4 linked regions of the Saccharomyces cerevisiae S288C genome follow. Changing the gene in region 4 together with the main gene of any one other region gives a genetic interaction. Each region holds a gene or a part of one and is shown on either strand. Other genes may lie near its edges.

Region 1 (7,026 bases), on a different chromosome or scaffold from region 4:
AAACTCATAGAAACCTTCTTCCCCTTGGCGAATTCCAATTCAAACATAATCGAGTTCGTATTCTGTGTTCGCAATATAAAGAGTTCGTTTTATTCACCTTTGGAAAAATTACATATTGCGAACATAGTCGCAGATATTGATATTAACACATTGTATCTGGACTTCGTGGATTCAAATATCTATTCGGATCAAAATTTCTTTGGGATTTTTGATCCCGATATTTTTCAGCTGATTAATAAAAACTATAGAAACTTCTTTTCTAAGACTAACGAAAAGGGGAAGAAAAGACCCCCCATTTGCAAGAAAATCTGTTTTCCCTTTGTTGAAACATTGAATTTGGATTATATGGCCCTTGATTCATTCTTTAATTCGATACTGCATAAACTAACAACAAAGATAAAAACATTTGAAAGGAACAATGAGTTTGACGTGGATAAAAATTTAAATTTAAACTCGACAACGACAGTAGCAGCTTTAATTATCAAGTCGATCTTGCAACAATTCTTCAACAATTTTCATATCAGCTTCCCTAATTTGGTTACCTTGAATTTTATTAAGATGTCTACCTACCCAAACAATAATGAGATTACCCAATGTTGTAACTTCATAGATTTATCTTCATATGTTCTAAACAAATGTTTAAGTGAGAATATCTCGATAAATTTCCTCTTTCAGTTGCACTCTTTGAAAAATTGGTCAATGCCCAAGATTAAAGAATTCACTGGGCACAAATTCAAGTATGACGAAACAACATTTTCAGGTTCACCAGAAAGGTACATCAAATCATTGAGGGGAAACATTAAAATTTTGCAAGAAATGGCAATTAACGAAACCAACGATGGTACTTGCTATTTCAGAGTCAAGTTGATACCTGAGGGGGTAGAAAAAACTCAAATAATCAACTGGATCCCCTTTACTTCTTCATTTAGCGATGATACCTTCAAACAAAGACACCATTTAAAGAGGCCAATGATTTGCTTGAAGAACAACTCTTTAAGATCGCTCACTGTCAAAATCATACGTATTGAAAAATGTTCATCCATCCGAATCCAGGGATTTTACCTACCAAATCTGCAGGAACTGTTCATCAACAATACCCTTTGCGACACCACCCAACACCAAAAACAAGCGTCAAATGATATGAGTTGTATAGAGTTCACTTCATGGAATGAACTACCACAATGCAAGAAATTGGGATTTGCTCAATTAGAGGACGACTCTAACTACGTTCTTAATATCAGTAACCTACAAGACCATTTACCAAATCTGGACCTGCGGGAGAGTTTCCCAACTTTCTTCGATATAAGACAGAAGTTTGTCGTGGTTTGAGGTCTAATTTTCAACCAAACGTGTTGTACTAGCATATATAATTAAATAAATTTCTCTAGTTATCACTTGATTTATCTAATAAGAGACGTCATAAACGAATTTTTTTTTAGCAATAAATCCTCAACGCTTTTTGTTTTCATTTTTCGGTCTTTTTCTACCATAGAAGATAAACAAGTAGAGCCCATGTAATATAATATATCTACAACCTATTATTACCCAAAACCAACAAAAACCCTGACAGTGACACCCCGTTACACACTCACAATTAAGTAGGGATGATAAAGTCAACACTAATCTACAGAGAAGATGGGCTGCCTCTTTGTACGTCTGTGGACAACGAAAATGATCCCTCATTATTTGAACAAAAGCAAAAGGTGAAAATCGTCGTTTCCAGATTGACACCACAGTCTGCCACGGAGGCTACTTTGGAAAGTGGCTCCTTTGAGATCCATTATTTGAAGAAATCCATGGTGTACTACTTCGTCATTTGCGAATCTGGATACCCAAGAAACTTAGCATTCTCATACCTTAACGATATAGCGCAAGAATTTGAACACTCATTTGCTAATGAGTACCCCAAGCCTACCGTAAGACCATACCAGTTTGTAAACTTTGATAACTTTCTACAGATGACAAAAAAGTCATACAGTGATAAGAAAGTTCAGGACAATTTGGACCAACTAAACCAAGAGCTTGTAGGTGTCAAGCAAATCATGTCCAAGAACATCGAAGACCTACTTTACAGGGGAGATTCTCTCGATAAAATGAGTGACATGAGTTCTTCTTTGAAAGAAACATCCAAAAGGTACAGAAAGTCCGCGCAAAAGATCAACTTCGATCTCTTGATCAGTCAATATGCTCCTATTGTCATTGTCGCTTTCTTTTTCGTCTTTCTCTTCTGGTGGATCTTCCTCAAATAGACGTCACCCCATCATCCCACATCACAAATCCCGATCAATTTGGTCCAAGTGTATAACATAGTCTAGTTCAGTATTAGTATAGTATGGCAATTTATTTGACATAATTACGTATTTTTCAGGCAAGCTGGCAGGTGACCCGCCGCACCTGCACTTTTTAGGGAGTCTTTTCAAGGATATCATCACTATATATCGAAGGAAAAGAGGCTTTCCAACTCTTTTGGATGATCGAATTGCCATCACTACTCTATTAACTGTCTGTGTATTAACTAAATAATCACATAGTATTAAGTTATAATTCCTGGAAAAAAAAAGAAAGCGAAACGACAAAATTAGCATATACCATGTCTCAACTGCCAACAGATTTTGCTTCATTGATCAAGAGATTCCAATTTGTTAGTGTCCTCGATTCCAACCCTCAAACCAAAGTTATGTCCTTATTGGGAACCATTGACAACAAGGATGCTATTATCACGGCTGAAAAGACGCACTTTCTATTTGACGAAACCGTGAGAAGACCCTCTCAAGATGGCCGCTCCACTCCAGTTTTATATAATTGTGAAAACGAATATTCTTGCATCAACGGAATTCAGGAATTAAAGGAGATTACTTCCAATGATATTTACTACTGGGGTTTGTCAGTGATAAAGCAGGATATGGAGTCGAACCCTACCGCCAAGTTGAATTTAATTTGGCCTGCTACTCCAATTCATATCAAGAAATATGAACAACAAAACTTTCATTTAGTCAGAGAGACTCCTGAGATGTACAAGAGAATTGTTCAGCCTTACATCGAAGAAATGTGTAATAACGGTAGACTTAAATGGGTAAACAACATTCTTTATGAAGGCGCTGAGTCAGAAAGGGTCGTTTATAAAGATTTTTCTGAGGAGAATAAGGACGACGGCTTCCTAATTTTACCTGATATGAAATGGGATGGCATGAACTTAGACTCTTTATATCTAGTTGCGATCGTCTACAGGACCGATATCAAGACAATAAGGGATTTAAGATATTCTGACAGACAGTGGTTAATCAACTTGAACAACAAGATTAGATCCATTGTTCCTGGTTGTTACAACTATGCTGTCCATCCGGATGAGTTGAGAATTTTGGTTCACTACCAACCTTCTTATTATCATTTCCACATTCACATCGTTAACATAAAGCATCCCGGTTTAGGTAATAGTATTGCCGCGGGCAAGGCCATCTTGTTGGAAGACATCATTGAAATGTTAAATTATCTAGGACCAGAAGGCTACATGAACAAGACAATCACCTACGCTATTGGTGAAAATCATGATTTGTGGAAAAGGGGTCTGGAAGAAGAACTCACTAAACAATTGGAAAGAGATGGTATCCCAAAAATACCCAAGATTGTGAACGGTTTTAAATAAAGGTTGTTAAAATTCTCACATCATCCACCTTTTTCCTACTCTCATTTTCTTTTTTTGAAAGTTGTTTGTTTTATATACCTTAGTTTCACAACAACATAAGGCATGCCTATTTGAGATTTTGTGATTAAAAAATAATAGAATACGTACTATATAACCGTCGGTTTAAAGTAAATAAATTAAAGACTAAGAATGAAACAATTAAAAACACTGTTCAATAACGTTGCTCTATCCTCCTGAGTCTTCCGGATCCTGTCTCCATTTTTTTGTGTGGTGACGAGTTGAGATAAAAAGATTTCCACTGCTGAGAATAATATCTATAATCGATAATGAAAGTTAGAACGATCACGTTGACTCTGAAATATAGTCAATAGAAAAAATTAGGTATCAATTCAATTGTAATATTTACTGGATTGAATTTAATTTAAGAATTACAGAATAAGAGGACGGACAATAAGAGGTACGCTACACATCTACCATCACTTTCAGGGAGGGCATAAAATGGAGGAGAGTAAGACAAAAAGAAAAGAGGATCGCATAGATTTGAAGAATACACCGCCTCAGAAGAAGTCAAAAAGAGATTCAACAAATGACGAAACTGCACGCACATCACTACGTTCAATCATGCCCAGGGGTTATAAAATGATGGAAAACATGGGTTACAAAGAAGGAGAAACATTAGGTAGTAATGAAAGTGCCCTAAAAGAGCCTATTAAGGTAGAAATCAATACAAAAAGGAGGGGAATTCGTGCAGAAAAGCCCGACCCATCAACAATGAATGACATGCAGATGAGTGAACAACGATTTATAAAAAGAGAAAGTGAAATGAAAAATAATAAGCGGTTAAAAAAAATTTGGTATAGGATCCAAAAAGTTGCTTTTGAAATGATGGGTGATTCCGATTTATACAATCCAGGCGAAGATCCGAGAGACTTTAACGTACTTTGGAGATCTTACGTTATGCAACTAAATGAGGAAGTAGCAAAAAATGACCTAAATAATCACAGTAACAATGATAATGAAGATAAGAATAATATGATACCAATGGTAAATGAAAGTTTGGAGGCTTCGCCTGCAATAAAAGGTGAAAAGTTTGGACGTCCTTCTACATTAATAGATTGTGATACTTCAATTATCGGTAGTCGCATTACAAAAGACACAGAACTTGCTGAATTAGAAGAATTGAGCATTGAAAAAAGAATAACAAAATTGAATATATTCCTGAGGTCCGAGAAGTACTACTGTTTTTTTTGCGGAATCAAGTATAAGGATGAAGGTGATCTCTACGAGCATTGCCCAGGAGTGAATGAAGACGACCACAAATGAATTTTATCGAGATAGGTAAAGTCATATTTCAAGAAGAAAGAAATGAACAGCTTTTATTTATATAATAACATATAATATAAAACGGAAGAAACGGGTAAACGTCAGTTCGATTATTCTTTTGCGGATACAACCTTGAAACCTTGCTCCAATAATGCAGTGACGTCTTCATTTTTGTATGGTAGATTGTTTAGTACGAATGCAATATCATCCCATTGCTTTTGGGTCTCGCACTTTCTCAGTCTTCCAACTAATTTCTCGTTTAATTGCTTTTGGTGCCGTTCCTTATCGATAAAAGTTAACAGAAATTTGATGATTTTCTTGAAACTCTCCTTACCCAATAAATCATCTGACGATAAATTACTAAAGATATCGATGAATCCATTATAAATGGCGTTGTCCTTGGATGCTAACTCGGTGAAAAATAATCTGCACATATCACTTATTCCCTGGTCTGGATTGTCTAGGCATTTGGCCATTTCTCCTAATTGTCCTTTAACCTTAACCTGTCCAGCTAAAATCAAGAAGGTAACTGTCATTAAACATGTTCTTTGTACCATTAAGTTTTCATCATGCAAACGGCGATACAAATAATCTGTGTTTTCGTCTACTAAGTTGTTGAAGCATACTGCCATGTCACCTAGTCCTAAGACAGCATTTGAGCGAATAGTAGGATCAGGAGATTTTTCCATTACTGTGATTAATAGCGGCAGGCTCTTTTCACAATATTTTGATGATAAACACATTAGTTTTTCTAGACATAAGGTTGCCGTTCTTTGAAGCATTGGATCGCTAAACCTGCTTGAATTAGAAACAATCTCTTCTACAATTGGGCAAAACTTCCCTAATATAGATTTTTCTCCAAATAGTAATTCATTCTCTTTTACAAATTGAATAGCATCCGTGAAATCGTCCTCATTAGTACCTCCTATCATTTCTAGCTCTTTATCACCACCGTTATCTTGTGTGGTGTTAGTTACATCTGCACCTTGGTTTTTTACTTTACCGTTCCGAGTTTCTGCCTCGATCTTTCTTTTCTTGAATTCTGCCTCACATTTCTCTAGATAGACAAGTGTTTTAATTGCCACTTGTCCTACAATGAATAATAATTGACTGAGAGAAACAACTCTAGATGATTGTTCTAACGACAAAATAGAGTCTTCCTCTTCAGGTTTACCAAATGTCATCATTGTCTTTTCTCTAATCAGATCTGTAGCTAGTATATCGGGCTTAGAAGAGATTGTAAACAGTGCACTAAGCGCTTGTTCGCACATAGGATAATATTCATTATCCTTGGTATAGTTGATAATTATGGCATACAACTTTTTCACTGCAACATCTTCAAGCTCTTGATTTATTGCCTTGGTAATAATAGTGCTTCTCTTGGGAACCATTCTCTCTAACGCTAAACAAGAATACCGACAAAGGGTCAGATCTTTTAAACCAACGGCACCAAGTCCAATGTTTAAAAGTGACTCCAGTCCTTTTAATGCTATTTCGTTATCGGCTAACGATAACATTCCTAAAATAATAATAGAACCATGAATTTGTTCCTTAGAAAACCCTTTTTCGGAGTCACGGTTGTTCACATTTTGTTCTTTCTGCATACTGGCCTTCGATGCAGAATTGTAAATAGCCCAAAGGATATTAATGACATGTTGATCAATCAATTTTTGTTCATACATCATTCCTAATAGCTGTTCCAAAGAGGCCAAGTCTGCAATAGATGCGCCGATGCTTAGATTAATTAAATTTTTGGCAATATGTGCCGCCTTCTCCTGCATATTGCAACTATCTGGCGCGGTTAAAAATAGCTGCTTATAACATTCTATCAAATGTACTGATATACTCGTTCCTTCATCGTTTGTGCCCTTCATCCAAACCAAATGCAGCATTTTTTTTATACCAAATTCGCTTAACTCAATGTCAAAAGCGTCTGCTAAAACTAGGAAGTCCATTGATTCTAAAACTTCGTTTCTGTTCTTAGAAAACAGCAAATTAGATATCAATTCAATACTCTTGTGTATCTCTTTAATGAAACTAATGGCATCTTTATAGTAAAC
Region 2 (9,126 bases), on a different chromosome or scaffold from region 4:
AAAGGACCCAGGACACCTGCTAAAGAGATACTAGAATTTTATTTCCTGGGCCTTTTTGGGTCTGTTTGGTCACCTACCAGTTGGAGAGATGATACAAAACCTAACCAATTAAATAACGGTATCAAGTTAAGGCATTTGGAAAATGCACTCTACGAGACGATGTCAGCAAGATACCTGAATAATATTAAGACCATCTTTCACAATTTGATCATTACAATTGGTGGGTTCCATCTATTATTAAAAAGGCGTTCCGATGTAAGTGCAAAAACCTTGAAGGATTTACGTAGCAATGAATTGGATTACCTAAATTTTGCATTCAAGTATATTGCTCACATTTTAAATGATATCGTTAAGGAATCATGGAGCGAAAATCCTGAGGTTTCAGAAATTCTAGGTATGGTAAGAATTATCAATTGTTGGATAAAAGCAAATCCCATGGTTCTTCAATATTCACAAAGTAATCTAGAGTTTGTTAATGCCTTGGCATACTTGATAAATGATATTGTGAAAAAAAAACCAAGTCCTTCTTTTAGTATAACAGAACATATTCCTAAAAGGACATACTGGTTCGAAGAAGACTTAATGGTGAAGGGTTTATCATTCGTTAACTTTCAACTATCTGATTTTGACGATTATGAAAAAATTCTTGAAATGGATCATAGTCTCGATAGATTAATTGGTAATCCGCCATTATGCGACAAGTTATCGGCATCATCTGAAATGCTGTTAAGGTTGCAGGCTGTTGTGAATATAAGTTCGCAATTATTGCAGAACAACAACTGCGGAGTAGAATGGTCAGATAATAAATCACGTTATATCTTTAATAAGAAAATTGGATTTAAGGAGACCGTTAAAAATAGTATGAAGACATCGAAGCAATCCAATGAAAAGGCCAAGTTACAAAGAAAAAACAAACCTTCGACCACTAATGGCTCAATATCCATGGCGGATTTGGAGAGACAAATGAGAAGTAGCTCTTTGGATTCTTTTTCTCCAACTATGGGTTATAGTGGTTCGTCTGTACCTATGGCCCCAGATACGTTCAATGTTAAGCCCAGCGGTACAATAACGGGGAACAAAGTAAATGTAGAACTGTTAAAAATCGAACTAAGCGGTCAAAACGCCGATGGCGCTATTACGAATATATCTCCTGGTTACAGTAACGCAGCGATCTCTTCTTCAAATTCGACAGATGAATCATCCTTCGATTTGAACAACATCCTATCTTCAATGCAACAAAAGCACGCGGAAAAATCATTTGCCAAATCCATGCAAGGGGTGAATGAACAAATTCCAGCGAATGACGTCTGCCATCAAGCCCAGAGGCCAATGCAAGGTGGTCTGTATTCATCACAGCAACCTTCATCGATGTCTTCATTAAACTCCGCGTATCAGAATGCCTCGATGCCTCCATCTGCCTCCATGGTATCCTATCCCTATCCTTTTTTGAACCAGCAGGGGCAAGGGGTCTTTCCGCCTTATAATGCACAAAATTTACAATGGCAGAGCGAAGCTTACTCATTAAAGTCAATGAATTTTGCAAATCCAACGTGGCTAGGTGACCAGTACCAGACATCTGCGCCGTCGTCAGCATATGCGCAAGCGCAACGGCAAATGTTTCAACAACCTATGCAGCAAGATGTGGGGAAGTACATGCAATTTCCTTTTGACGCCCAAAGCAACACGGACAGCATGAGGGGAAACAGTCGGAATAATATGTTTTAATATTGTTCGTTTTTTATCATAGTTTTTCAAATCTTCATATGAATACTAGGTAGAAATTTGGCTTATCAGTACGAATGAATTACAGTTTGACTGATTTGTACACGAGAATTGACGTATAACTTCTTTTGAAAGTCTTTGAAATTACATGGTAGTACATACATATATATATATATATATATATGTTATATTATTGTTAATTAAATATTATTATGCGTATTTTCCTTTTCTTTATTAGTATAGTATTAATGACAGTAATAATAATAATAATAGTAACAATATCTCTTTTTTTTTTTCAGTGAGCTTTTATTTTTTTTTCATTGCTCTTCTTTTGGCCTCTTTTGTTTTTTTCTTGATTTCCTCCAGTTTCATCTGTTTTTTCTTTGGATCAGATACAAAATCTGGTTTGAACGCGTCATAGTGACAGTCCAATTTCAACCTTTCACAGTTGAAACAGTGCGGTCTTTCCTCGGTACACTTCTTTTTCCTTAATCTACAAATCCAGCAACCAGTACGGGACCTTGTACCTTGAGACGTTGAGGAAGTAGCATTATTCGATTCTTGAGAATTGTTTGCTTTTGATTTCGAAGTAGTATTATTTGGTCTTTTCTTTGATGACTGTTTCGCCTTTGATTTTGCCTTAGGCTTGACATTTTTTCCTTTAGATTTAGCGAAATCCGGCGAAGTAGCGTTAGGATAATCAGCGGTATATGCCAAGCCAGAAGAAGCCTTCAAAGATGGAGACGATGGAGCTGACGAAGTTGAGGATTCGCCAAGAGAATTATAATCGCTATTGGTTTGGCTTGCTACTCTTGCGTTTCCAACTGACCTTCTCGATTTTTTCAATGGTGGAACTTCCAGTTGCTGTTGTTGTTCTGGAGCAGAAAGGCGTCTGTCTATTCGCTTACCATTCTTATTCCAAGTAACTTGCCTTGTCCTTGACTCAAAAGTGGGATCTAAAACCTTTTTAGAGTTTAGATTTAAATGGTAAGGAGACAAGTCTTGATTTTGGTCCTGGTCTTCATCAAAAACAGCTGTAGAATTGTTGCTTTCGAAAATGGGTTGTTGTTCGGAATTATGGATACGTAACAGAATTGGTCTTAAGACACCCTTTGATGGAAAAGATGACGAATGAGGCCTACTAGCCGGCACACCGAGCGCATTTGTGTTATTCATGTCATTGACATTGGAAATGGGTTTATCATGAGTTCTATATGGGGATGATCTCATGTTTGATAGCACTGCTGCTGCTGTACCCAAGTCGTCGTCTAGTTTGGTAGATGAAGATGCAGAATTCGGACCGAGCAATAATCTTGATCTCAATCCATCCAATTTAGAATTGATGTATTTCGGTGGAGGTGGTGGGATGTATTGTTCATTTGTATGGAAGGGACTATTTCTATTGTTACGATTCGGCAAATCGCCGTAAAAAAACCCAGTAGAAGGTCTTGACGAAGTGGCAAACGGGTCTTCACCGCGATTGATATTGTTCCGTTGAGGGTTGTTGTTGTTTGTGCTTGTAAACGAAGATGCGGAAGTTGGAGGTTGAGAAGGTATTTGGTTGAACCTAAAATGCTGGAAATTGTTTCTGCTGGTAATGGAAGAGCTGGTGTTCGCATGTCGAGAGTTTGTAGGCGTATCCGTGTTTGAACTAGCATTGTTGGAGGATGATTCATTCAAAGAATAAGCCTCATCTCTGTATTTCGAATTTAGCCAGAACGATATGTTGATTTTTGATTCGTTCTCGTCCAGTTTTACATTTGGGTCTGTTATCTCTCTATCCTTGTTGAAATAGAAGTTCCTGGGCGCCACGCCCACGGCACATTGGTCATCATGCACATTATGCTGGACCTGAGAGTCGTTAGATGGACTGCCGCCGCGCTTAGTTCCGCCGCGCAAATACCCGCCAATCTCATTGTTATTAGAGGATTCTCTCGAATCTGAGCTTTGTATCGAATTATTGTCGTTGTTGTTGGTACTGTTGTTTCTGCTCAGTATCGACATAGGCGAATTGGTAGTCTTACCGTTGTTCTTGTTGGCGCTGGTAATGATGAGCGGCAAATCCGATCCTGTGCGGGAACGGATGCCCGAGCCCGTGCCCGCGCCCGAGCCTGCTGCGGTGGTACCGGGGGAAGAAACCGCTGGAGCTTGTGGTGGCGGCAAATGTATTTTTTTTTTGGCGCCGGCGACGATAGTAGTAGTGGCAGTGTTACTATTAGTGGAGGTGGAGGAGTAAGGGAAAACATCCTCGTTGGTTGCAGTATACTGCGGCTGAATAGCACCGGAAATTTGTGGGTCTGTAGCCTGTGCGACATGGCCATTGCACAATGACTTAGGATCCGAAGGTGTATTGGAAGGCGCGAGTGGGCTGGCGGCAGCATGCACAGCGTTATCGCTGTCACGGCGATCTTGAAGTGTAGTATTGGTCGTAGTAGTAGTATCGTTTTCCTTAGGATCGTCTTTGATATCTCCGCCACTTTGGACTTTCAAACTCGGCGAACCAGACGGAGTATGCACGGGAGTGTTGTTGGGCGCACATGTCGATTTCATAATAGAAAGCAAAGGGTTTTCATCGTAGGTTGTCTTGAGAGATTCGATGCTAGCACTGGAAATTGTAGGATGGCGGGAGTTAGCTCCATCACTAACTTCATCTTCTGCATGTTTTTTGCCGTCTTGGCTGCTATTCATCAGCGTGGCACGAGATGTTTTATTGTGCAAATAGTGATGATTGTTGGCGGTTGTTTCCATCGAAAGCAGAGAGGCAGCCGCATTAGATTCGTCCATGTGTTTGCTTTGAGAGCGCGCCTTGTCTAGCATCGTGAGTTAAGGTCCATGCAAATGGTTTGAGTGCGGTAGTGTCCTAGTTCCTGTGCGCTGTGCGAAGGTGGGCGCTTCTTACGATCACTGGTCTCTTGTCCTTGTCCTCTATGTTCTTTTCATTTTTCTTTTTGACGGCGGCAGTTTCCGCCTGGCATTGGTGAAAAGGCGCCTTGAAGCACGGCGGACGTGTCACCCGGACCGAAACAGAAGAGAAGTAGCGCAGTCTTGGCAATTATAGGATGCCCGAAATCCAACGTGCATTCTATTCTCGTGATTATTCTCGTGATTTCGTGTGCAACCAATGGACTTTAAAAACTGCGCTCTACTACTTGTAGCAATGCATGTTTTGGGCAAGTGGGGTTGAGTGGAGTGTCACCTCAGACGACGTGTCGCTTTTGTATATCCGTTTTTACGGACATAAGAACGTGCCGCCCATTCTGGGAAAACAAAACACAGGTTAAAAAAAAAAAGAAAGGAATGGATGGGGAATGGGACAGAGAGGAAAGATAGAGGTGGAAATAACAAAAGCGTGACAACAAAGAAGCAAATACGGAGGGACAAGCAAAGAAAAAACAAGGACAGAAACAAAAAATAGGAACAAGAAGTAGCACATTCATAAGCAAGAGAGTACGAAACCTGTTTACACCCCCCGAGACAGTTGCCCTATATCGCTTTTCCCTATCAATAGTTTCTAACTCATGTCAGTCTTGCGATCACAACCTCCTTCAGTTGTACCGCTACATCTGACAACATCCACCAGTCGCAAAACAGAACAGGAACCATCGCTATTGCACTCTGCAATAATTGAGCGACATCAAGACCGTTCGGTGCCGAATTCGAATTCGAATCCGGATTCGAACCATCGAATAAAAAAGGATCGCAATAATCACACTAGCTACCATTCTTCATCGAATTCGGAGTCAAACATGGAAAGTCCTCGCTTGTCAGATGGTGAGTCTTCCACTCCGACCTCTATTGAAGAGTTAAACCCAACAATAAATAATTCGAGGCTGGTGAAGAGAAACTACTCAATATCAATTGATCCTTTGCATGACAACAGCAATAATAATACGGATGATGATCATCCAAACACCATAACTTCTCCCCGACCAAATAGCACTAGTAACAAGGAAATGCAGAAATATAGTTTTCCCGAAGGTAAGGAGTCGAAGAAAATAACAACACCCTCGTTAAACTCGAATAATTGTTTGGATTTGGACAATTCCAGTCTTGTTCACACAGATTCGTATATACAAGACTTAAATGACGATCATATTTTACTAAACAAGCGCGTTTCGAGGCGATCTTCCAGAATATCGGCAGTAACAGCAACTTCCACGACAATTAAGCAAAGAAGAAATACTCAGGATTCAAACCTGCCCAATATTCCCTTTCACGCTTCCAAGCATTCTCAAATTCTACCTATGGATGATTCAGATGTAATAAAATTGGCCAATGGAGATACCAGCATGAAACCAAATTCTGCTACTAAAATTAGTCACTCAATGACTTCTTTGCCTCTTCACCCACTTCCACAACCTTCTCAAAAGTCAAAGCAATATCATATGATATCCAAATCAACCACTTCTTTGCCGCCAGAGAATGACCACTACTATCAACACAGTCGTGGCACCAACCATAATCACGCTGCTAATGCTGCTGCTGTTAATAATAATACTACTACTACTACCGCTGCTACGGGTCTGAAAAGATCAGAGTCTGCAACGGCAGAAATTAAGAAGATGAGACAATCTTTGCTGCATAAAAGAGAAATGAAAAGGAAAAGAAAAACATTTTTGGTGGATGACGATCGTGTTTTGATCGGTAATAAAGTCAGTGAAGGCCATGTCAACTTTATTATAGCTTATAACATGCTAACTGGTATTCGTGTCGCAGTGTCACGTTGTTCTGGCATAATGAAACCTTTAACTCCGGCAGACTTTAGATTTACGAAGAAGCTTGCCTTTGATTATCACGGAAATGAATTGACCCCTTCTTCTCAGTATGCATTTAAGTTTAAGGACTACTGTCCCGAAGTCTTTAGGGAACTTCGTGCATTATTCGGCTTAGACCCTGCTGATTATTTGGTTTCGTTAACTTCCAAGTACATTTTGAGTGAGTTGAACTCGCCAGGTAAAAGTGGTTCATTTTTTTATTATTCGAGAGATTACAAATATATTATCAAGACCATACATCATTCTGAGCATATTCATCTGAGAAAGCACATACAAGAATACTATAACCATGTAAGAGACAATCCAAACACTTTGATTTGTCAATTTTATGGTTTGCATAGAGTGAAAATGCCTATATCGTTTCAAAATAAAATTAAGCATCGGAAAATTTACTTCCTAGTCATGAATAACTTATTTCCACCACACTTAGACATTCACATTACTTATGATTTAAAAGGTTCCACATGGGGCCGTTTTACCAATTTGGATAAAGAAAGGTTGGCGAAAGATAGATCATATAGGCCTGTGATGAAAGATTTAAATTGGCTTGAAGAAGGTCAGAAAATTAAATTCGGTCCATTGAAGAAGAAGACTTTTTTGACACAGCTGAAAAAAGATGTGGAATTGCTTGCTAAATTGAATACAATGGACTATTCCTTGTTAATTGGCATTCATGACATCAATAAAGCTAAAGAAGACGACTTACAATTGGCGGATACGGCATCTATTGAGGAGCAACCACAGACTCAAGGACCCATAAGAACCGGTACCGGAACGGTAGTACGACATTTTTTTAGAGAGTTTGAAGGTGGAATTCGAGCATCTGATCAATTCAACAATGATGTGGATTTGATTTATTACGTGGGGATAATCGATTTCTTGACTAATTACTCAGTTATGAAGAAATTAGAAACGTTTTGGAGAAGTCTACGCCATGATACCAAGTTGGTGAGTGCCATACCTCCAAGAGACTACGCCAATAGGTTTTACGAATTCATAGAAGATTCTGTAGATCCTCTGCCCCAGAAAAAAACTCAATCGTCGTATAGAGACGACCCTAACCAGAAAAATTATAAAGACTGAGTAGGGCACAGGTAAATAACCTATCGTCTATGTACTCAGTCTAATCTACTTTGATTTAATTTAATTCAAGTTATATAAATCTATTCTTTTCCCTTTAATTTTAATATTTTAATTTCAATCCTTTTCTTATTTTCTATTTTTGCTTTTTTTTTTTCTTTTTTCCATATTCTCAGGCCACGTCAGGCTTGCATAAGCCACGCTAGCTAATAATTCAGCGAGACCCTATTCCAAACCTAATTGTTCGGAACCATGCCATATCTCTTCCGCAGTGTGTGGCTAAGCGGCTTTAAGAGGATACGAAATGTCAAAAAACGAGAAAATTCGATTATATCTGTACGAACTTTTCTTTGCGCTTACTGCCTGTTTACTTTGCTTTGCCTTCTACTGTTTTTTTTTGCTCGAGGCCGATGGTGAACTGCAACGTTATATAAACTAAAGTGCCAGAATAAAAATAAAGAAAGGCAAAGGGAGACTATCCGTCTTCGAAACAAGTCAAAAGAGCGAAAACTAATGAGCCAACAACAAGGTTACTACCAACAAGGACCCCCACAGCAAGGTTATTATCAACAAGGTCCACCACAACAAGGTTATTATCAACAAGGTCCACCGCAACAGGGTTATCCTCAGCAGCAACCAGTCTATGTCCAACAAGGTCAACCAAAGGAGGAAAGCTGCTTGGACAGTTGTTTAAAATGTTTGTGTTGTTGTTTCTTATTAGAATTGGTATGCGATAACTGATTCGTTTGTTCAAGAAGTGGTCAATATAAAAAACGAAATCACATAGCCTTTCATCTATGCTGCGAAAGACTGTATAATTACTTTTAAGCAAAAATGTATATAATATGATGGGATCGTTACGTTGGAACAAGAATTGACCATCGTTCATCTGTTGTTGAAATAAAATTTGAAGTTATTCGTCGTACTAGTATCCTATCACATGCGGTGTAAGAAATCACATTGTATGAGAAGCAATTATCTAATTTAATGGACGCTGAAGTTCAAGAATTGGTAATGTGACAGGATAATTAATTAACAGCATATAAAATAAAAGAATAATATTTTTATTATATAAAAATATCGATCACTCTTGTGGATTTCTAAATCCTCGAAGAGAACTTTTAATGCATTCTATATGCCTAATAATAAAGTCGCTATCGAAAATATAATATCTATGCTTATCTATATTGAGAAATGGATGAAATTTGAGATAATTGTTGGGATTCCATTGTTGACAAAGGCTATGATATTAGGTGTAAATGTTGGAATAAAAATCAACTATCATCTACTAACTAGTATTTACGTTACTAGTATATTATCATATACGGTGTTAGAAGATGACGCAAATGATGAGAAATAGTCATCTAAATTAGTGGAAGCTGAAACGCAAGGATTGATAATGTAATAGGATCAATGAATATTAACATATAAAACGATGATAATAATATTTATAGAATTGTGTAGAATTGCAGATTCCCTTTTATGGATTCCTAAATCCTTGAGGAGAACTTCTAGTATATCTACATACCTAATATTATAGCCTTAATCA
Region 3 (3,783 bases), on a different chromosome or scaffold from region 4:
ATTCTTCTGTTTTGGAGTTTGACTCCATAGAGGAAATTCCAAATGAGAGAAAGTCCAATATTAAGGAGCAAATCCATAGCATAACGAACGACGTTTTCTTAGCTGCTGTAAATGTAAATAGATTAAACTTCCAACCGTTACCAAACGCATTTGAAACATATGGCGTAGACTTTTTGATTGATTCGAATTACGAAGTTAAATTACTAGAGATCAACGCTTTCCCAGACTTCAAACAAACTGGGAAAGATTTGAAGAACCTCATTGATGAATTATTTGATGACACTGTCAAATACTGTGTTACCCCCATCTTTAACGAGAATAGAAATAAGACAGATGATGAAACAGACCCGAACTTCGTAAAAGTCATTGATTACACTTCAAACGGTTGGTGAAACAAAAAAAAAAAAAGAACCCATCCTAAAATACTGTTATTATTACTAAATAGTGCTAAATAATACATATGCCTTGATTTTATTTCCGAAATTTTTTGTTTTGTCAATTTAGGCTCTATTAGCTTCTTCATCAGGTTCATTATCGTCTACAACACCGTCTTCCATGGTATTTTCAATTTCTTCCTCAAAATTTGTTGTCTTATTTGTTGTAGCACTGATCAGACCTCTCTTCACAACACGTAGAGCCACCGGGATAGTAATATCATCGTCAGATATACCCAAATATTCCCGACTCCAATTTAAAATCCTACCTCTTATTCTATTGGCTTTTATTACAGACTTTCTGATTTTTTGTAAGTTTCTTATGAATTCTTTATTCCTCTGTAGTGCAATCTGCGACAGCTGTCGGGCAGACTCAATTTCCTCATTTAACTGTTGTTGTTCGGCCGCTGTTAATGTTGATATAGAAGCAGAACCGGAAGAAGATGGCAGCAACGATAACAGCGCATTAGATTGTTCCAACCTTGGCAATGCAAAAAAAGGATCTTCCTCTCCAAATTCTTCCATGCCATTATTGATATGACCAGCTTCAGTAGACAAACTATTCGAGTTAACCTCGTTGATATTGTTTTTGTTGTTAATGTCATCCTCGTCGCTTGCCCCTCTATCCTCTGGAAGGGTCAAATTGTGATTATAAGATGGTAGGTTCAAGTTAGATTCATAAATTGGTTCAGGATGATCTCCTAAAAAAACCTCCAAAAACTGGGAATATCTAACAACTGACATCTGTTCTTTTTCAATCATTAGAATTATTTGCAAGGCTAAATTTTTCAAAATTGGGCTTGAAAATGTCCTTGAGATAGTTTTATGATTTATTATATCCCCTAGGGAAAGAATGGGAGTCAAAATCTCCTTTACATTCACTAGTTTTGATAGGTCGTCATCGTCTTCTTCGCCGTAATACTCATCAGTGATATTTTCGTCTTCCTTCTCACTACCATCGATGTCGTTTTCATCACCGACTAAAACAGGCTCGACGTTGATGTCAGGTGTGAATTTTATTCTTTTGCGTCTACTATCAGTGACAATATTTGTTTGCAGAAGGCGATGCTCCGAACCGTTATAGAACACAGTTTGCTCAATCATTGGCTTAGAATTGTTCAAGTCTCTTCTTGTTACTACTTCGCTTCTCTGCAAAAGTTTGTTACCTCTGTTAGAGGATATGCCAGTGGCCTCAGGATAGATTAGTTTTCCATCAAGGGATCTTTTCAGTACCTGATAGTTACCGCTTTTTTCCTTTATTATCCTTCTAGTAAATGTGCTAATTATATTCGATTCATTAGCTAACACACTCTTGCTTTCCAATTCTGCGTTGTTTTTCATACTGCTCCTAATAGTCATCTCGATCAACAAGAAGCAACAGCTGAGATATTTGTTTCTCAACCTCTTTTTTGCAGGAGATGCTGTCATCAAGCAACGTTTCTTCTATTTGAAAGCGATTGTTTTACCAGAACAAAGTTCGCTACCCGGCTTCGGTCCTCTTGGGTATAGGAGACAATAATGATCTTCGAATAACGCCGTTATAAAGTGAACATTATAATTATCCGCTTAAAGGCTTTTTAGTAATTTTGTAAAACAATTGCTTCTAATTTCAAGACTTCCAAAAGGTTTCTCGAGTAACTAGTGCTTTCCAATATCTACAACAAAATAAAATAATAGAATAATGGGTGTTTGCACTATTTTTAGGTGGCTCTTTGCTGCTTACTTGCTCTCTTCATATAAGTCGCTTCCTGGGGCATATTTTGTTAGGTTTTATTATTATGTTATTCAAAACTTGTTCTTGCCTATGTTTACAGGGTTTGAAACCGAGAATATTAAGAAACTTGAGAAAAATGAATATGGCTGTTTCTCGTACACCAGCCTAGATACCTATGCCTCTCCATTCGAATGTGACTTCTACTTTCATAAGAGCAATAGCACCTATTTTGCGGAATTGGACATTTCAAGAGGTAATCTCATGTGCAAGATTTTTCAAAAATTGATGCTGAATTCCAAGCATTATCCATATATTCCAGTTGCGAACGTTTTCACTAATTTCTTGAAGGAAATCAAGCCTTTTCAAAAGTACTCGGTTTCATCAAGGATTATCTGTTGGGATGAGAAATGGATTTACGTCATGAGTAGATTCACAATTAAAAAGGGCACCGTCTTATGCTCATTATCATTGACCAAATACGTCCTTAAGGACGGTAGAAAGACCATCAAACCAAAGGATGCTCTTGAATACTGTGGTTTATATAATGAGAAGGTCGCCAAAATTTCTGAGGACAATCTAAAGCTTTTAACCGAGCGTTGTGGTTTCCACGAGACAGTACCATTGGAAAACTTGAGCCAAGAGTACTGTTCAGAAATCTAACTTCTATACACATATAGCCGGTATTATAAAATATATAAATCTATCTTCTTTCAAAAGTTTCTCTGTGCAGTCTGCGTTATATTTTATCTTCGGTAGAAAACAAGGTAAATTTCCCTTATTTTTCAACATCATAAAAATGAAAAACAGATATATCTTAAGTAAGATACTTAAGCAGACAAGTTGAATTGGAGAAATACAAAAGCTGTAAGGTTATCAAAAAGGAAGGCATACAGTATAATGGGGGCACAATTATCACTAGTGGTCCAAGCATCACCTTCCATAGCCATTTTTTCATATATCGATGTCTTAGAGGAAGTACACTACGTTTCACAGTTAAACTCATCAAGATTCTTAAAAACATGCAAGGCACTGGACCCTAACGGCGAAATTGTTATCAAAGTGTTTATTAAACCAAAAGACCAATATAGCTTACGACCTTTTCTCCAACGTATAAGGGCTCAATCGTTTAAGTTGGGACAACTACCGCACGTTTTAAACTACAGTAAATTGATCGAGACAAATAGAGCCGGCTACATGATACGGCAGCACTTAAAAAATAATTTATATGACAGATTGAGTTTGAGACCTTACTTACAAGACATTGAACTGAAATTCATTGCTTTCCAGTTGTTAAATGCATTAAAGGACATTCATAATCTGAATATTGTCCATGGTGATATAAAGACAGAAAATATCCTAGTAACAAGTTGGAATTGGTGTATATTGACAGATTTTGCTGCATTTATCAAACCCGTATATTTGCCTGAAGATAATCCAGGTGAATTTTTATTCTACTTCGACACCTCGAAGAGAAGAACCTGTTATCTAGCCCCGGAGAGGTTTAACTCTAAACTTTACCAAGATGGAAAATCTAACAATGGTAGGCTAACTAAAGAAATGGACATATTTAGTCTTGGATGTGTTATTGCAGAAATATTTGCTGAAGGAAGACCCATCTTCAACTTATCACAGCTA
Region 4 (9,949 bases):
TGCTCCTTCGTACCCAATGCTAATTCGGATAGAGCTGCAGAAGCAACTTCCTTTTCATAGGAAATACCAGTGTTAACGGTGAATTTGTTCTGTAGTTCTTCTTCATTGGCAGAATCAGCAAATGCGGCTAAATCCTCTGCATCACCATCGAAGTTGAATTGGTATTCATCTAATTCTAGTGTCTTGAAGATTTCTGGTAGGATAGTTTTCAAGAAAGGAGCAAAATTTTCGCCGTAAACTTTAGCCAAGTTTGCAATGAATGCATAACCAGATTCTCTTAATCTAGCAGAATCAGTTTTGATGGCCTCATAGGCGGAGTTAACCAAAGGTTCGGCAAATTCGGCAAATGCGTCTGATCTGACGGCTCTGGCCATAGTAGAAATATTTTCAAAAGTGTTGGCCCTTAGTTCTATATCATCTTCGCTCATACCTTCAATTTGAGAACAGTTTTGGATGAATTTTTCCAAATAGTGAACACTAGTCTTGAAATATGGAATGAACGCGGAACCTGCTGCAAAAGCAGCGGAACCAATTGCAGAAACAACAGCACATCTCAACTTGGATGATTCATTACTTTCCAACATATAGAATAGTTTGTTCATTAATGGATCCAAGTACTTAGCGATAGCATCATAAGCAATGAACTCAAGCAGACCATCTAAAGCAACAGTTGCATAGTTGTAAATGACAATGTTTTTCGCAGAATCAATGATATCGATGATCAATGGCAAGTATTCTTCATGAAATTTGGCAACTTCGTCTTGTAAGTCAGTGGTTAATTGGTGAATACACTTCAGAGCAGCTAATTTAACAATCGGTTCAGTATCCTTCAAACCGTTTATGGTGGCAGGGATAATTTTGTCGAATTGAGACAAAATGTAGTCTGGAGAACCAGTAACAGCAACGGAAATAGCTAAAAGAATAGCTCTTCTCTCAAAAACGTTTGCGGATTGCAACATAGCTGGAATGTGTTCAACAATAACGGAAGCAACCTGGGATGGTGGCAGTTCAGAGGAAGCGAAAGCTAACAGTCTAATAGCAGAAGAAGAGGGTGTATTTTCCTCATTTTCGCCTGTTTCGTCTTCGTTGTTTAATTCATCGTCAACATCGATCTCTTCACAAGCCACCTTCAAAGCTGCAACAGTAATTTCTGGGCCCAATTTGCTTTGAGAAACCTTCGATTTTCTGTAGGACAATGAAGATATGATGAATTGAAGAGCAAAAACTCGAACATCTTCGTCAATCTCACTGTTAACAGCAATTTGTAAAGACAGCTTAATCAAATCCACAATAAAGTTTCCTGTTAATTGGGAGTCCAATAGCAGGAAATCGTTTAAACAGTTAAAGATTAATTTAGCGTTCATGGTGTCGTCGGCCTTGATAACTGCGTCTAAAACGTTAACCACAGATGGAATTGAGGCGGCGAATTTTTGAGCTTGAACAGGGTTGATGGTTTCTTGTTCTTCAATCAAAGCAGAAACGTGGTTCAAAGCCTGGGCAGATAATGATCTGATCTCCAAAGAAGATGGATCATTAATTGTCTGAGAGAACAAAGCCAAAAAGTCATCGATGTGGCCAGATAGAGAAGAGGTGAAATCTTCCAACAGAGAAAACAAAATAAAAATGGCAGTTTGTCTTGTTTGAACGTCTTCACCAGAAGCAGTTTGGATTAGGTTAGGGACTAAATCTGGCCATTTGTTACCATCTAGCTCTTCAGTACCAATAGAAGCAATTACTCGAGCGTTGGAATGACGAACATTTTCTTTTGGCTCACTAAATGCTGTTTGTAAAAGAGATGTTTTGATGGAGGCTCTAGTGGATTCATCAATGGCGTTCCAGTGCTTGGAAACCAACTTTCTAGCTTCAACACCAGCTAGTTGTTTCAACGAATCATCGGAGCCGTTCTGCAAAATATGAATCAAAGCTGGCAAAGTTGTAGGCTGGGTATAAAATTGAGTTTGCAAAGTTTTTGTAGCCTCCTTCAAGCCTACACCAGAAGTGATAGCGTGCAAAGTTTGCTCAAGTTGACTTAGAAATTGTTGATCCATTATACTACTTGATACTAAAAAAGTGTTTTTCGTCCCTCAGTTTTTATGCTGCTAAGGCAGGATTTTGGTAATATACAGAAACGAGAAGAAGGATCCTTGCGGGGTCTTGCCTATTCTTTTTTGTTGACTAATAAAATCAATACCAAACCTGACAACAAATAAAATGAAGGATCTATGGATAAGTGGATGTTTCTATTTTTTTTTTTTTTTTTTTTTTTTTCGACCTCATCTCATCGCGCTTTCCATTCATCATATTGTACGAAAACAAAGCACAATCGTAATAAAAGACATCCTGATAATTAGCAAAGGGCTAACCATAATAGTCTAAGTTTAGTAGTTCAAATGTTTGTTGACATGCACTTGAAGCAACTCAAGCGCAATGAGAAAAGTGACTATACAAATATGTAAAAAATTGCTACCAAAAAAAAAAAAAAAAAATTTAAAAACTCTGATAATATAGTAAAAATTATTGGTACATTGTGAATTAAAATTTATGCGTTTGCCCTCAAATCCTTTTCTATATCGTCCAATTTTGAGTCAATGTTCTCAATTGTGATACCAATCAAGTTTCTGTATTTATCTAACTTCACCGATGAATTAATTTTGCTTTTAGCTTCGCTTATTTTCAATGTTGTCATCCTTCTTTTAAACTGTAGAATAGTTAGTTCCGTTGCTAGTCTCAACGTCTCATTTACATCATATGATTCTTGTACAGTATTAGAAAATTTGGCGTCCGCTTTGGTGTTTTTAGGAGAAGAAGTTTCCGACGTTGACTTTGGAATTGGCTCTTCATCTTCCTGTTTTTCTGGATGTGAACTTGAGTTAGTATTCATATCAACCTTTGATTCCTCATCCTGGACAATTGTAGCCAGTTTTAAAGCTTGAGATTTTTCCAAGCTTTGAATAAAATTTTGCTTTTCAGAATTCAACTTTGACGATGTTTCTTTAATCCTTGATTGTAAATCTGATATCGAATTTATGGGAGTTTTGTTTGATACGGAATCGAAAGCATCCTCTATTTGATGTGCTATTGTAATCAATCTCTTCTTATTGTTAGAAATAGAGGATTCGGTTTCTACTACTTCGTTGTCCAGATTTTTAATTTCTTCACCCATTATTCTTTGTAGAGAAGAAACTTTTGTATTTAATTTGTTGATCTGCTGCGAAAGCGGTTTTGAGTACTTTCCTAGTGGAGACATCTGTATCGGCAGAAGGGAAGAAGGCGATTCCAATGATGGCATGGCAGTTTTCACACTATTCAAGGGATCCTTTTTCTTTTCAACTTGATTCTCATTATCCTTTGCCTTTTCTTTTTCATCTGATATTGACTGTGATCTTCTTCTGTATAAAATGGGAGAGTTTTCAAGAATTTTGGACGGCGTAGACTTTATATCTTTAATGACAGACGACGTCACGAAAGAATTAATATTCGACAAGTCTTCCATAATAGTGTTCATATTTGTAGAATTTGGCTGGTTGGAATGCAGGTATTGACTTTCGTTGACTTCAGAATCTGTTTTAGCTATATTGACATCTGCAGTAGAATCTTCTTTATCAGGATGTTGAGTTTTTATAATTTTTGGAATTTTGACATTGTTTTGTGGTTGCTGTTGCTGTTGCTGTTGTTGGTAATAATTCTTTTGAGGAAGGTTTCGAGCTAACTTTCGATCTGCCTTGGTGTTGTTGTTTCTGCTGTTTGACCCGCCAGCCGGAGTATTAAACTTATTCATTATTGACGCAGGCGATTCGTTATCTAGATTCAATATATCTGTTGACGCACCAAGATATACCAGTCTGTTGTAAACCTCGAAGTTCAAGTTTAAAGCAGATAAATGCAGTGGAGTGTTCCCTATATTATCTTGGTAGTTCAAACATATCTTCAACAAATTGTAGTCCTGCTGACCCAAGCTCAATATTATCGAATCCATATAAGATTTTATTATCATTGGATTTTTGGACTTATTAACGCTCAATTCAATTAAATAATGAAATGGCAATCTTCCATTTACGTCGGGAGTTATAAGACATATTTTTAAGATGGATATTATTTCATCGAAAGCATTCTCCTTGTAGCAATTGTTGTAGAAAATTGATTTTGTGATGCAATTAAAACCGAGCTTATTACACTGTAATGCATTAGCATTTAAGGTAATTAGCATTTTTATCAAAGGAATATTCGCCATAGCTGTAGCCCAATGGAGTGGAGTGTGACCTTGATCATCAATTTCAAAATTTATGTTAAAATTTTTGGGCGCCGGATATAAAGTAGCCAACAACGCTTGATCTACATCAGAAGACCTTTCCGATGATAGTATTGTTAATATCGTCTGCTTGTATTCTTGATCTGTCATTTTGTTTTCCAACTTGTTTTGAGATGAAGTATTTCCTGCGCTGAACGGTGTCATAGATCGTGAAGACATATTCATACTGTTATCATTTTCATTTGATGAAAATACTTCAATGGAGGAGCCATTGGATGCTACAGTGTTGTTGTTATTGTTGCTGCCGTTACTGTCACAGTACTCATTATGGTGATCATTTGGATTTTGAAAGGATTGCCATAATAAGGGTTGCTTCATTAATTTGAAATGCCTTTGTATTTTTTCTTGCTGGTTGTAAAATTGTTGTTCATTAGATTGATTCAGCTTTTTCCTCCTTTTTTTACTATTGCCATTTGTAATGGAGTCCATCATGGAATGATTGAAGTTATTCGTCAAATATTCATGATGATGTTGTTGTTGTTGTTGGCTTTGCATAGGTCCGTCTGGAACTATGATCAAGTTATTATTATTGCCATTATTATTGTTATTACTGCTGTTAATGACATTGTCGATGTTATGGCTGTAACTATTACTGTCATTATTATTAGGGTTATTCAGAGCAACGTTCTTGTTTTGTAAATTTGTCGGAATTGGAAAAAATTGAAGAGGTTTCTGAGTTGCCGAATAATTATTATTGAAAGAGTTTTCATGAATGGATTTTTGTTGTTGAATAATAGTAGATTGATTGCTGTTGTTACTAATATTATTTATTAAATTGTGTCTTGTGTCATTGTTGAAATTCATCGTGGTGTGGTTATCATTATTGTTCATTATATTCATTGATGAATTTACTTGGAACTGTTGAGGAGTTTGGAAAACAAGGTTTTGTAAAGGACTTGGATTCGGCTGGTTGATCGATGCATTTTTCTTGCCTTTCTTATTCGCAGCTGTAGTTGTAGCCGATGTTGATGAACTACTGTTCTTTTTTCTTGGTGTTTTATTGTAGCTCGATGGAGAAGTTATCTTCGTTCCCGGCGAAGTCTTCCTCAATATACTATTTTTGCTTCTCTTTGGTGGAGGGTTATTTGGATCGAATTGAAAAGTTAAGATGGAGTTGACCACAGGGTCAATTATTTCGTACTTATTGACTAAAAACTTCGCTGAATCCAGTGGGATCCAAGTACCTTGAAACCTACCATACCCACCTTGAACTTTTTCATGTTGCATATCATTTGATTCCTTTTCCAGTATTTTAGTTCTTTTCGTCTTCGAAAATTGAGCTATTTTGAAAACCTGGGTAATATTAATCCAATCATCTTTAGTTCTTCTCATCACTATTTTAGTTTCAAACCCACGTATATAGCATTCGTATACATCGGTTTCTGAATACGTAGCTATTTCAATCACTGGATGGTTTGAATGAGGCGCCAAAAGAACTGATTTTGATATTGGCGTGATGTTCTGGTGATTGGTATTATCTTTTTGGTTTGATATCAAAACATCAAATGGCATGATTTCTCGAATAAATCAACCTTTTAGAACTACGCAAGAGGGACAGAAGGGAAATGAGAAAGAAAGAAGAGTTAATTTTCGGCAAAGAGCAATTATTGTTGACAATATATCAAATAACGTGAAATAATGTACCTTTTTTTCAAAGGGTAAGTGGAGGAAGAATCGTTTGAAAAAGCGACGACCAATGCTAGATGTGATTCTGCTGTAACAACAATTAATAGTAAAAATAACACAATACACTAAAGAGTTTCTTTTTTTATTATCTCGAAAAAAAAAAAAGCTTCCAGTTGAATTTAGCAGCAAATATTAGTCAATTAGTTGATATGCTAAACCAATGCTAAAGGATGGCAATAACTATAATATCTTTTGTGCGTTTTTCACGTTGACGTGCTTCTTAGTCCTTGTTCCTCTTTTTTTTTTGTTAGGTTAACCATTTATTTCCTAAACGGGAAATAAGCAGGCGGGGAGCTGAATATAATTAACTTTCGCGTCATGGTTAGTGACGCGTCACTTCAAACGCGGGTAACAAAATCAAGTTGTTTTTAGCCGCCGAAGGTAATTGTATCCATAATGAAGGCTAGATTAAACCAATAATTTGTAGTGACAAAATTTATAGTCAGTAGCAGGTTCTCTTTAAATTGAGAGATTTCGACAGCCTTTTACTAGATGTCTAGTTTAGTAAAACTAATTTTCGTATGCTGCTAAACGACCTAAGATCCGCAGTCACCTATCGTTTAAAGTACGCAGTCACAATGCGGTTGAAATGTAATGTACTTATATTACCTCCTTCTTAAGTAACATTTCATTTTTTCCGCCACCGTACACAGAGTAATTGCTTCGTTCGTTATCTACTTGTACTGAAGTCCCTCTAAACCTACTGCCTTTTATTTTTAGGCTCTAAAATAACCATGGACAACGTGAATTGGGTAGCATCTTTTTTTTAATAGATAGTTTATTATGTATAACAATAATTTAAAGATATTCATAGTGATAAGTAATTTTAAATGAGTTTAAAGTACTACTTTTCCTTTACCGCCAGTTTCCTGTACTATGAAAAAGGCAAATTCCGCATTGTAGCCGCCCACACGCATTTTGATCATCAATTACGAAATTTGCCGCACACGTGTCACGTGATAAGCACTCTTACTATCATGTTTTACGGAGTAGCAATGATGTTCAATTATTGCAGCTTTCTTTCGTGAAATCGTAGTATCATAGACCTTCCTAATGATGGAAGCGGTAAAGAAGGAAATCGTAAAAGTAAATTAACGAAGTAGTATTAGTAAAACAGAGTTGAAAAACTGATAAATCTTCAACTCGAACTGAAAAGAAACACAATAGAATATTTTTTCTCAATGCTACCTTTATATCTTTTAACAAATGCGAAGGGACAACAAATGCAAATAGAATTGAAAAACGGTGAAATTATACAAGGGATATTGACCAACGTAGATAACTGGATGAACCTTACTTTATCTAATGTAACCGAATATAGTGAAGAAAGCGCAATTAATTCAGAAGACAATGCTGAGAGCAGTAAAGCCGTAAAATTGAACGAAATTTATATTAGAGGGACTTTTATCAAGTTTATCAAATTGCAAGATAATATAATTGACAAGGTCAAGCAGCAAATTAACTCCAACAATAACTCTAATAGTAACGGCCCTGGGCATAAAAGATACTACAACAATAGGGATTCAAACAACAATAGAGGTAACTACAACAGAAGAAATAATAATAACGGCAACAGCAACCGCCGTCCATACTCTCAAAACCGTCAATACAACAACAGCAACAGCAGTAACATTAACAACAGTATCAACAGTATCAATAGCAACAACCAAAATATGAACAATGGTTTAGGTGGGTCCGTCCAACATCATTTTAACAGCTCTTCTCCACAAAAGGTCGAATTTTAAACAAATTTTGTATTATAATAATTATGTACATATATAAATATATTGGTACATATGTACTGTGTGTGTATGTGAATGTTGATTACCGTTTTCTTTAAAAAAAGCTTTTCTTCTTTTTATTACCGAGCTTTCCTTTAGTTTACAGGTTGACTTTCTGGTGGTATATTTTATTTATAAACCATGAAGCCGTTAAGTAACTTAATGCGCCAAGCCCTAAACTGCACATTACGTTGAAGATTAAACTATAACAAATGGAAATTAAGATAGATGAAAACCCATGGATGTTTAGCACTGCGAAAATGTAATATAGCGAATACAATTCCATATATACACCACCGCTAAATCCCATTTCAAAGCACTTCCATCTCCAATTGTTGCGAACCACCTTATCTTCGAAGCAAAATCTCATTAATAAATAACTTCCAATAATTGATATCTCCATAGTTAACACGCATAATAGTATGATACTCAAAAAAAGGAATCCGTAAAAATAATAAAATGTAGTTTTCTCCAACCAGAGAGATTTGTAAACGTATTGCATTTCCACGTAAATTACTAACAAGGGGAAAATACCACATAAATAAATGCCGCAGTAAACCAACGGGTTGAACTTGGCTCGTGATTTAGGTACAAATAATCCATTGCCATCGCTATTGCTTTCATCTTTAGTAATTCCACTCAACCAATATTGAGGCAAAGGTATATTATTAGCTACAATACCACCAAACAAGCTGAGTGGTATACAGACGATGAAATAAATGCTCATGAAAAACACAATAGTCTTGAATGGTAATGCACTTGTAGAATCATGTGCCCAAACAATACTATTTAATAAAAATGTGCTCACCATTACAATGCCAGGTAAGCTGGACCCACAAAGTATCGTAAAAATGGGACTAAACTTCTTGTAGTCTTTGAGGTATCTGTTATCGTCAAGGTAATTGGCCTTGGTTCTTTTCGTTTTCGTTACCATACTGAGTCTTGTCCCTACGAATGATGCCATGAATGCTCCAAGTACGAAAAATAAAATGGCCATAGTTAGCACACTGTTTCTTACATTATGCAATTTGTTCATTGAACATGATATCGTTAAGGATCCAATTATGGTAAATAAAAATTGCACCCCAAATGAGACCAGAAGGATTAAAACTTTTAAACCAAATAAATTTGGTCTACCATTTTGTATCCAGTCTTTCGCCACCGTGTAAACGGAGTATTTACCATACTTGTCATCGTCCAGGTCATCCTCTGTTTCAATTCCTTCTATATTTATCATGTATTTGGGGGACTTTGAATTACTTTTATCCGTGTACATGACTCGTACGTAAATAATAAGCGTGATAAATGAGATGGACAATACAATTCCCACTGAATTGGCTAAGCTCATCCAATGAAACTGAATGCTCTGTTCGTCAGATAACTCACCTGCGTTCAAGAAATAATCCCATCTATGATTCCAGTCTACTTCAAATTCTTCCCTCCAATATACGGAGTAAGTAAATGGCAAATATGTCAACTCATTTTCATCCTCAGGAATGACTATTTCGTATTGTTCGTAGTTCTTCGATGCCCCAGGACAATGATAATCTGACACAGATCTTGGATATACTTCAAAGCCGACTATGGTATTTTTATCATTATCACTGGCATGAAAACGTATTACCAGCATTACGTGATTATGCAGATAGGTTTTATCTGTATCAGGATCTATGAAACCTAAAGGAAACCCAGATGCATAATATTTTTTATGATCAGTGGTGGAAATAAAGGTAGTGGCAGCCGGCAATTCATCATCAATTAGCCATTGTACGACGTATCCCTCCCTGACTAACTTGTCTAAGGTCTGCATGCCCTCTTTGGTAGTTTTCCGGGCACACAACGTTTCACATGGATTGTCTTCGCCAAATTTGAGTTTATAGTCGCTTTCCCATTTCCTATCCCCTCTTATTATTTCGTTTAGAGATAAATGAAGCGGTTTTTTATGCATAGTAGGAGGACAAGTGAAGGGCAAGTCATAATATGCGTATGGCAATTGCGTTAAGTCAGATTCTACCTTATTCACAATCAATTCCAAGGGATCACCCTTTCTATAGAAATTGGGTGTTATCCACCCGTCATAAAGATTCTTTTGGCTGGAGGAGATGACTGGTTCCTGCCCATGCCCTCGCGTTCGTGATGAGTAGAACTGGTTTCTGAGGATGAGCATCACGAC

Evidence for each region.
Region 1: mutations in SWI4 (region 4) and SEC22 together harm fitness more than expected from each alone (negative genetic interaction), as found in Saccharomyces cerevisiae (5 studies listed by BioGRID).
Region 2: mutations in SWI4 (region 4) and UME6 together harm fitness more than expected from each alone (negative genetic interaction), as found in Saccharomyces cerevisiae (5 studies listed by BioGRID, with this or other methods).
Region 3: mutations in SWI4 (region 4) and RXT2 together harm fitness more than expected from each alone (negative genetic interaction), as found in Saccharomyces cerevisiae (6 studies listed by BioGRID).

What each region holds. Positions count from the first base shown.
Region 1 is NC_001144.5:678,596-685,621, forward strand, and holds SEC22 (SNAP receptor SEC22), read left to right. Parts: upstream 1-1,604; coding exon 1,605-2,249; downstream 2,250-7,026. Other genes in the region: BOP2 (Bop2p), read left to right, coding at 1-1,329; DCS1 (5'-(N(7)-methyl 5'-triphosphoguanosine)-(mRNA) diphosphatase), read left to right, coding at 2,591-3,643; CMG1 (Cmg1p), read left to right, coding at 4,142-4,966; condensin subunit YCS4, read right to left, coding at 5,077-7,026. UniProt on the Saccharomyces cerevisiae protein: Nonessential SNARE involved in targeting and fusion of ER-derived transport vesicles with the Golgi complex as well as Golgi-derived retrograde transport vesicles with the ER.
Region 2 is NC_001136.10:862,984-872,109, forward strand, and holds UME6 (DNA-binding transcriptional regulator UME6), read right to left. Parts: upstream 4,540-9,126; coding exon 2,029-4,539; downstream 1-2,028. Other genes in the region: EBS1 (Ebs1p), read left to right, coding at 1-1,725; MSS4 (1-phosphatidylinositol-4-phosphate 5-kinase), read left to right, coding at 5,241-7,580; YDR209C (uncharacterized protein), read right to left, coding at 8,053-8,466; cysteine-rich palmitoylated domain-containing protein CPP2, read left to right, coding at 8,091-8,318. UniProt on the Saccharomyces cerevisiae protein: Component of the RPD3C(L) histone deacetylase complex (HDAC) responsible for the deacetylation of lysine residues on the N-terminal part of the core histones (H2A, H2B, H3 and H4).
Region 3 is NC_001134.8:433,906-437,688, forward strand, and holds RXT2 (Rxt2p), read right to left. Parts: upstream 1,794-3,783; coding exon 501-1,793; downstream 1-500. Other genes in the region: PBY1 (putative tubulin tyrosine ligase), read left to right, coding at 1-392; YBR096W (uncharacterized protein), read left to right, coding at 2,116-2,808; ubiquitin-binding serine/threonine protein kinase VPS15, read left to right, coding at 3,046-3,783. UniProt on the Saccharomyces cerevisiae protein: Component of the RPD3C(L) histone deacetylase complex (HDAC) responsible for the deacetylation of lysine residues on the N-terminal part of the core histones (H2A, H2B, H3 and H4).
Region 4 is NC_001137.3:380,056-390,004, forward strand, and holds SWI4 (SBF complex DNA-binding subunit SWI4), read right to left. Parts: upstream 5,822-9,949; coding exon 2,540-5,821; downstream 1-2,539. Other genes in the region: karyopherin KAP123, read right to left, coding at 1-2,048; U6 snRNA complex subunit LSM4, read left to right, coding at 7,177-7,740; TMN3 (Tmn3p), read right to left, coding at 7,877-9,949. UniProt on the Saccharomyces cerevisiae protein: Part of a complex involved in cell-cycle-dependent transcription. SWI4 and SWI6 are required for formation of the cell-cycle box factor-DNA complex. The repeated element in the upstream region of HO (5'-CACGAAAA-3') is called the cell cycle box (CCB).